2 linked regions of the Macaca fascicularis genome follow. The protein of the gene in region 2 interacts with the protein of the main gene of each other region in a biochemical or structural test. Links are inferred from orthologs where the notes say so. Each region holds a gene or a part of one and is shown on either strand. Other genes may lie near its edges.

What was found.
Region 1: the proteins of PLCG1 (region 2) and SH3BP2 form a complex in vitro, tested with the Homo sapiens proteins (2 studies listed by BioGRID, with this or other methods). The link is inferred for Macaca fascicularis from reciprocal best matches to the Homo sapiens genes PLCG1 and SH3BP2.

Annotation. Positions count from the first base shown.
Region 1 is NC_088379.1:2,996,885-3,001,425, reverse strand, and holds the start of SH3BP2 (SH3 domain-binding protein 2), read right to left. Parts: upstream 2,855-4,541; 5' UTR 2,807-2,854; coding exon 2,640-2,806; intron 2,469-2,639; exon of another isoform or gene 2,349-2,468; intron 1,572-2,348; exon of another isoform or gene 1,178-1,571; intron 427-1,177; coding exon 287-426; intron 1-286. UniProt on the Homo sapiens protein: Binds differentially to the SH3 domains of certain proteins of signal transduction pathways. Binds to phosphatidylinositols; linking the hemopoietic tyrosine kinase fes to the cytoplasmic membrane in a phosphorylation dependent mechanism.
Region 2 is NC_088384.1:97,242,062-97,246,587, reverse strand, and holds the start of PLCG1 (1-phosphatidylinositol 4,5-bisphosphate phosphodiesterase gamma-1), read right to left. Parts: upstream 2,886-4,526; 5' UTR 2,803-2,885; intron 2,315-2,802; exon of another isoform or gene 2,313-2,314; 5' UTR 2,192-2,312; coding exon 1,975-2,191; intron 1-1,974. UniProt on the Homo sapiens protein: Mediates the production of the second messenger molecules diacylglycerol (DAG) and inositol 1,4,5-trisphosphate (IP3). Plays an important role in the regulation of intracellular signaling cascades.

The sequences.
Region 1 (4,541 bases), on a different chromosome or scaffold from region 2:
AGACCTACCTGGCCATCTGTGGTCCCTGGGTCCTGGCTGCAGGCTGCAGCTCCCCTTGCCAGCTGGCCAGCAGTGTGCACCACCCTGGACCCTGCTACAGTCCTGGGGCTAGGGAGGTCAACCTCTGGTTCTCCAGGGGTGCCAGCCACCAGAGAGGGAACGGGAAAATCCAGAGGGCCCACCACGTGAGGAAGCAGAGGTTCAGAGAGGATGCCCACGTACATGTACATGGCCAGCCCTGCCCCCACGCCCTCCCACTGTGCTCCCTGCCACCCTGGGGACTCACATTTGAGCAGCTGCAGCTGGGTACCGCCCTTCTTGTGCAGGTAGCCAGCCTTGGCCACGCCCCCAGGCATGGTTAGCAGGTTCTGGGCACCAATGGCCTTCATAGGGACAGGCCAATGCATCTCTTCAGCCGCCATGAAGCTGCAATAAAGAACAAAGGCATGAGGCTCAGCTACGGTCAGGCAGGAGATGGCTGAGCCAGGGCGCTCATGGGGACACTGCCAAGATCCAGGACACAGCATGGAGGGTGGGGCCATGACAGGCAAGGAAACCCCTTTTCTGCAGGCCTTGGGCTTCCGGGTGGGACCCCAAGGAGAGACAGAGCCACCTGGTCCACTCAGTCAGCCCCTGGTCCACTCGGCCACACACCCGACCCCAGGATCCTGAGTGCTACGTGCAGCCCTTTCTCTCCACTGGTTCATTCTGCACACAGCAACTGAGTGCAAGGCCCCGTTGGGGCTGGGTAGAGATGAAAGAACTCAGAAAACCCCAGTCCAGGTAAGTCAGACTTCAGGCCATAACTACTTCAAGTCCCAGTGCCAGATGAGCCTATAAGGGGCCTAGACAGGAAGAAGGCAAGTGAGCAGCCAAGAGCCCCCAGTTCCCAGGTCAAACGACCCGGACTCCCGTCCTGGGAGAACCCAAGACTCAGTTGCTGGAGAACAGAGTGGATACCCAGCCCAGCACACAGCACACTGTGGTCAGCAGTGGCCGTGACCACCATTTGGTGGGTTGGTTGCTATTCACCCCACCAGCCCAGGATATCACTGCCATTCCCTCTGAGCCCAAGCAAGGACCACACAGTCAGTGGAGGACCAGTGACTGCCTTGGGGCTAACCCAGGCCCACCAGACCCAACGTCATGCCCTGCCCCCTACTCCAGCCACCCTTACTCATGCTCCAGCTGCTCTCCTTGAGATCCACCATGCTGTTTAATGCTTCCTCCTCTGCCTGAAATGACCTCCACCCCTTCCCATGCAGAGAACTTCTACTCATCCATCAAGACCCAGGTTGAGAGTCTCCTCTTCTGCTAGGCACCCTCACTGCCCACTTAAATCCAGCATCTTCCTCACCTCTGATCCCAGTGAACAGTACCCCCACCCTGCATTGTTTGGTCTGTGCCTGCCCTCATTCCATCCTGGGTAGGTCCCTCCTGGGGCCCCAGTGGAGTTGGATGGGAGCAGGCCTGTGGCCAGTGTCCTGTTAAGCCCTTAATGGAGCAGCTAAGGTCAGATCCAGATGCCCAGTGGGGCTGGGACTGATTCCACTACAGCTCCAACCCCAAAAAACACACATAAAGAAAACTAAACCAGGGCAACATAGAAAGACACCATCTCTAAAAAAAAAAAAAAAAAAAAAAAAAATTTTTTTTTTAAAATTAGTCAGGCATGGTGGGGCACATCTGTAGTCCCAGCTGCTCTAGGAGGCTGAGGCAGGAGGATCACTGGAGCCCAGGAGTTTGAGGCTGCAGTGGTCTGTGATCATACCACCACACTCCAGCCTGGGCAACAAAGCGAGACACTGTCTCTAGAAATAAATAAAACAGCCAGATACAGTGGCTCACGCCTGTAATCCCAGCACTTTGGGAGGCCAAGGCAGGCAGATCACTTGAGCTCAGGCGTTCAAGACCAGCCTGGGCAACACATAGAGACCACCATCTCTAAAAAATAATTAGCTGAGCTTGGTGGTGCACACCTATAGTCCCTGCAGGAGGCTAATCCAGGAGGATCTATTGAGCCAGGAGTTCCAGGAGGCAGTAAGCTATGATTGGCCACTGCTCTCCAGCCTGGGCAACAGAGCTGGAGCTAAAAATAAAAAATTAAAAACAAAATAAATAAAAAGAAAAGTACTCTCCGCTTTTAGCAAACCAGCACAAGTGCAAGAGGAAGTCTCCAAGGCATCAGGCTGTCTTCTGCCGGCCTCGGCCTGGGTCACCCGGCTGGACCCCACCAGCTCCCTCTGCACCCAAAGCCAGCCCCTCTGGGCGGGTCCCAGCCGCAGGGCCCCCAACCACAGGCCAAGGTTTGGAACAAAGGCGCCGCCACACCCCAGCGCTCGCCCTACCGCGCTCGGCCCGAGGGAGCTCCACGCAGTGGGGATGGAGGGGGGAGCCCCGTGCCCGGTCCGCCCGCGGAGAGCTGCCCGCAGACCGACAAGCCCCGTGCCGGCCTGAGCCCCCCACCCGCCAGCTGGGACGGTCCACGCCCGCCTTTGTTCCCCCAAGAAGCGCGTGGGCGACCAGCAGCGCCCGGGGCTCGCGGCCCGGGTCCAGGGGGTCGGGGCGCGAGGTCCAGACCCGGAAGCTAGAGGCCCGCGTCCCGGAGTCGGGGCTGGTGCTCGGTGCTCGGTACTCACGGCGTCCACGCGGCGGGCACGGCCGGCTTCCCCGGGGCGGTCCACGCCCGCCTCCCCTGCGAGCACCGGCACGGCCCCGGGCCGCGCCCCCCGGCCGCCGCCGCCTCATCCCGGGCGCCCGCCTCCCGCCGGCCCCAGCTCCGCGGCCGCGGCCCGGAGCCCGCCATGCCCGCCGCGCCCGCCGGCCCTGGCCCGGCAGCCGCCGGCTCCTCCCCTCTCGGCGGGGGACGGGGCGGGCAGGTGAGGATCCCGGGCCCGCCCCTCCCGGCACCGCCCCCTGCTGCGTCACCGTGCGCGGCCGCCCCCTGCAGGCCTCAGTTTCCCCACGCTGCAAGGAGGGTGGTGGGCGCTGGGGACAGGAGGCCCACATCTGTCGGTGCAGCCTGGAATCAAGAAGCCTTCGATGCAAACGAAGCCTCCTGCTCCACTCCCCCAGCACCTGCGAGTCCACACAGCTTGGTTGGAAATCCACGGCAGGCGCGAGGGCCTCGGCTCTGAGGCCCTGCCCAGGTCCCATCTCGTCGGGCCCTTCTATCTGACCAGCTCTCTCGGGAAAGTGGCCTCTGTTAAAACGGCACCTGCACGGAGGGCGGCAGCAGGGCAAGGGATCTGGCACGTGCCCCGCCCTCACCTCAGCTTCCTGCGGGACTCCTTGGGCCTTCAGCCCCAGATTCCCCAAGGAGCCAGGGGTCTGGTCCTTGGCACCTCCCACCTGCTTGCCCATATGCAGGCGCCTCACCCAGGAGAGTCCCCTGGGGTGGCAAAAGGCCAGCAGAGGCCCTTGCTGGCCTCCCAGGCATCCTGCCTCCTCCATCTTCCACCTGCACACAGGCTGCCACCAAGATGGACCAGGTACAGGTGTGGCTCTATAAGCCTGGGCCTGACCTCACCTAGCTGTCCATCTGGGGCACCCACCCTGGTTTCAAGGCCCCACCTCAGGCCCGCTCTCTGGGCTTCCCACTGCACCCAGCTTTCAAGGCTCTGTCCCATCTCTGTGCCCTTGTCTGGCCTGCCTCAAGGCTCCCACCTCCTTCCAGCCACCCTGCCAGGCCCCTCTCCATTGCCTCTTGGCAGCCCCCTCCACTTCCTCTCCTCAGGCCTCCCGGGCCTCCAGCCCCCCACCCAGCATAGAATCAACATGCACACCATTCCCATCACTGCTCAGTGCTAAACCTCTAGGGCCTCCTCATGCCAAACTGGCCCTCCCTGATTCAGTCACTCCTGCCCTCTACCTTCTGTGCTCCTATGCCAGCCGGACCCTATGGCTCCAGTTGCCTGAATCGAGCAAGCACCCACTTGCAGGCCTCAGCCCATGCTGTTGCCACAGCCTAAAGTTGAAATTGAACTAACCCAGCCCTCAAAAGTTGGCTCAAAAGAACACAGCTCCTTCACAAATTTCCAGAAAATAGAAGAGGAGGGGAACTCATTCTATGAGGCCAGCATTATCCCAATACCAAAATCAGACAAAGACATCACAAGTAAACTACAAACCAATATCCCTTATGGATATAGACATAAACATCCTCAACAAAATACTAGCAAACTGAATCCTGCAACATATAAAAGGGATTCTACACCAAGACCAAGTGGAATTTATCCCAGGAATGCAAGGATGGTTTAATATTCAAAACAATGAATGTAATACACCATATCAATAGAATAAAGGACAACCACATGATTTTGACAGATGAAGAAAAAGTGTTTGACAAAATTCAACACTCTTCCATGATAAGAACAGTCAACAAACCAGGAATAGGAGGGAACTTCCTCAGTCTGATAAACGGATCTGTGAAAAACCCAAAGCTAACATACCTAGTGGTAAAAGACTGAAAGCTTTGCCCCCAAGAACAGGAACAACTAAAGAATGTCTGCTTTACTTCTATTCAGCATAGTACTGGAGAT
Region 2 (4,526 bases):
TCCCTTCCTGCACCTTCACCCTTACCTCCAGCCACACCTCACCCCCTCACCATTCCCAGTTGAGGGTCTTGAAGGGCAGCTATGGTCTATTGTTAATGTTATTACTAATAACAGCTCACATTTATTAAACATTTATGTGTCAGACAATGCTAGATATTTTTACATGAATTGTCTCATTTGATCCTGGAGCAACCATATATAGTGGATATATTACTACCCCCATTTTACAGATGAGGAAATCAAGGCTCAGAGAAGGTAAGTAACTGGCTGGGAAACATACAACAAATATATGGGCTTCAAATCCAGACTTGCCATCAACCACTGTGCTACATTTATTGCCTGCTAATATGCATGGTTTAAAATGCAGTCTGTTACCCAGGAGATCTCTTGAGAACTTTCAGCCAGTGCCACCAACTCAACACAGCATAGGGAGCAAGGAAGGGGACCATGCCTGGAGTCTGATGCCTGAGTGACGTTCCCAGGATTATCTCAGCTCTTTGCAGTGCCCATCCTTCCTCTACTTTGGAATCCACAGGCTCTCAAGTCACTAAAATATTCTCCCAGTGGCTGACAGGGTCAGTGGGGGCACTGAGGAAGGCGGCTGCCATTTCTAAGTTGAGCAGCTGCGTTAGATCTGTGTCAGATCTGGAGTTTGTAGCTGAGGATGGCTGGCTGCCTCACCACAAGACCTTCCTTCCTCCCAATCTCCTCAACCATCTACACACATGCACACCATACCCAAGAAGGTTTGTGGGACCCCCCCTTTGGGGTGTCACTTCCTGATCCCCCTCCTTCACACAGACCTGGTTCTGAGCCCGGGTCTAACCCCAGTCTCCGGGGGTCCCTGCAAGAAGCAACCTAGTCTGGAGTTGCAGACACACCATCTCTTCACACTGAGAGGCGGGGGAATGGAGTGGCAAAGCAGAGTGCCCATCCGACCACAGCACAGGCACGCGCTAAGTGGAACAACTCTCAAAGATCTGGGGTTTTTCAAAATCCCCCAACTCCCTCCTCCCACTACAGACCAGCACAAAAGCAGCCAAGCTCAGGCCTGGGAAGGCGAAAAGGCAGGAAACCAAGAGAAGCCGCTCCCGCTCCCTGAAGCCACCGGACAGAGGACAAAGGGCTAGACTCCAAACTAGCTGCACTCCTGAGAAGAGTACCTGACTCCAAGGCGCTGGGGCAGGCCTTTATGGGGCCCATCTTCTGGGAACGTGCTTCCCAGGGCAAGGGGAGTCCCTGTTCTGGCACTGAGTGTCTGCCCACCCACATAGGCTTCCAAAACTCAGCTTTGGGACAAAAGTAGCATTAAAAACAAAACAAAACAAAACAAAACAAAACCAAAAAAAACAGCCACTGCCTTCTCTCAGGCTTCTCCAAACCAAACAAGACCACCTTCCTCCCTCTCCCCCAGAGGGAGATGAGTAGGCCCGGCTCCGCTCCAAGACCAGCCCTACCCAACATCTGCCTAAGTTCTACTTAGGGAACCCAAAGGTTCCTTTGCAACCAAGAGCCCAGCCTGGGGGCCCGGAGAGTTTCAGAGACTGCTCTTTCTGGAAAAAGAGTGGTGGGCGGGGACCGTCTGGTCAGGCCCCAGGTTCCCGTGCTGGGTTGGGGCCGCTGCCTTAGCTCCCCTCAACGATGCCACCACCACTCCCAGGGTCTGGGGGGGCCCGATGCCCGCACCGCAGATCTCCAGCCCGCGAGGATTTTTTAGGCCTCAGGGCAAAGCTCCAGGAACAGTAACTCCCCCCAGCTGGGGGAGGGGGTGTCCTGTCAGGTGACCGAGGACCCGGATGCCCCCCGCCCCCAGTGACCACCCGAGACGAAGCGGGGGCGGGGCCCCGAGGGGGTGGGGGAAGGCCCGAAAGTTTGCCCAAGTCGCTGGGGCGGCCGGCCGGGGCGCAGGCAGTTGGGCCGGGCTCCCACGACCCTAGCGCGCGGCGGGCCCAAGCAGGAAGGGGGCGCACTTACTGGCCCCCTCTATCTTGTCGGCGCCCCGGCTCCACGTGATCTGGCGCGTCTCCAGCTTGACCTGGAAGGTCTTCCGCTCGGGTCGCTGCGACTTCTTGGAGTAGAACAAAGTCATGACGGTGCCCACCTCGAGGCTGCGGCAGAGGTGCAGCACCTCGGCGTCCGAGGGCGCGCCGGGCCCGCAGCCGTTGGCGCAGGGGGATGCGGCGCCCGCCATGGCTCCGACGCTGGGGGCGGCGACGGCACAGGCCGGGACGGCCCGGGAGCAGGCGCAACGACGCCGGCTGAGGTTGGGGCTGAGGCTGAGGCGGCCGACGAGCGGGACCCGGCGGCTGCTCCTGCAGGCGGACACGGGGCGGGGCCTGAGCGCGGCAGGGCGGGGCGGGGCGGCCCTGAGGCCCCGCCCCGCTCGCGCGCCGGGAACAAAGGCGCCCGCGCACCCGTGGGGAGGACCCCCGCCCGCCGGCCCGCTGCGCCTGCGCCCCACGACCCCCAGACAGGCCGCAGGCGGGGACGGAGGCTCGATGGCGGCGGGAGCGCGCGCCGTTCCCGGTCGACCCACCCAGCCCTCAGTCCCGCAGAGCTTTCTCACGCAGCCCCGGACACAGCCCGGCGGCCACGAGCGGCCCTGTCACGCACGGCAGCCCCGCCCACAGGCCGCAGGCCCCGCAGCCGGCGCGCCAGTCAGGCGTACTCGCACGGGCGTCTGCCAGCCCGCGGTCCCGCACAGACGCAGCCCCCGCGTCCCGAACACCGCCCATGCAGCGACCAGGACGGGACGCGAGGAGGTGGCGCGTCCTCCGGGCATGCCTGGCCAAACCCAGTTACCTGGGCGGGCTTCCCGGCGAAGGGAGCCAGGCCGGGCCGCCTCACACCGGCGGTGGCAGCGGGTTCTCCGCGCGCCCTCTCCTGAGAGGGGCGGGGGCGGGGCCGCCTGCGGATTGGCCGCAGGCACTGATGGACAGCCGACATGTCCCGCCCCCCGGCAGCGCGGGGCTGGCCCCTGGCCGCTCTTGGGACGGCCAGACCCACGTCTGTCTGTTCCGCCTCTGCTGCCAGGGTGGCCTTCAGTGGTCCTTTCGTTCGGAGAGTTCCCCCCAGCCCCTTGCAGGGGCGTTAAGTCCGCGGCCGCGCTGCCCAGCGGCCTGACCTGCAGCTCCCAGGGCCTTTGTGTCTGTCCTTCGCATGGGCCTCTGTACGCTCCGTCTCCACGCGGCGGGACTGGAGTCTGATCCCGGGCGCCCCTCCTGCAAATGCTCTCCTGAACTTTGATTTTCCCCGCCTTACTTTCCTCCTCCTCCTGTGGCCGCTGCTTCTCGATCTCAGAAGCTTCTCTTCCTCTGCACTCAGTGCTAGGCCAGATCCCAAGGCGACCTGACCTTTCCCCTGGCTTTACCCGCCACACAGGCACCGATGACTCGAAACCTGCATCTCCCCTACGTTCCAGGCCCCAGCATCCCACTGCATGTGCCACATCCCCCCACCTTAGACAGCTCACCTTCCCTCCCCAAACGGTTCTTTCCAGTCTTCACTTTCTCAGAACGTGGCGCTAAACTCCTCTAAGTTGGAAGGCCAAAAACCTTGCAGATAACTTTGCTCCCTCTGCCTCACCTCCAATCCATCAAGATCTGTTCACTGAACCCACAAGCTGAAGGCCCCATCTCCTGTCACCCAGACTATTCACTTTTGTTTTGCCTGGATCTATTCTCCATGCTTTAAGTCTTTACAATGAAATTAAATAATGATCCCCTACATCCAGCCTAGAACCCTCCATGAATTCCTATTGCACCTAAAATCCACACTCGCTGCTTGGCCTAGCAGGTTCTATATGACCTGCCCATCTCACCAGTTTCATCTCTCACAAGTGATCCTTCGCTCTCCATTCTCCAGCCACAAGGCCTTTTTCTGGTTATGGAATAATTCATACTCTTCGTCTTTCTGAAGCCATTCTTGAAACTCACCCCTGCAATCTATCTGCCGCTGTCAGCACCGCCAAAATTGAGGACACCAACGGTCGCAGTGGAGTCTGATATGTTGAGCCAGGCAGTGGGTCGGCTGCCAGACACAGCAGGACAACTTACTGCATTTCAGAGGTGAGAAGCCCAACAGAGCTTCCAGCTGATGCCAGAGAAAGAGCCAGGCTTCCTGGGATTTGTGGGATAGTAGGACTAGAGTTTGTAAGTATGTAAGAGTGTGTGCTCAGGCAACCTACTCAGCTGGATAGTGACCTGGGGCTGCTGCTTCTGACTTTGTCTTGCTGTAGTGGAAACTTGTGTGTTTCGTTGATATCCTCAAGTGCATCCCCTAAGAAGCTCAGAATTCAGCATGACTTTGAGACACTTTGTCCTAGCCAGCTTCTTTGGCCTAGGGAGCGGTGGGGTAGCTGAGATGGACTGCCACCTAGTGGCAGGCCTTTACGTGGGCGGGAGGGAGCTGGCATAGACCCTGTGCTGAAGGCATGCACCTGTGGTCACACCTGATCTCATAATTATCCTCTAATGAGGAATGATGGTCTGCAGTTTACTGATGAGAAACAGATTCGGAGAAGTTCT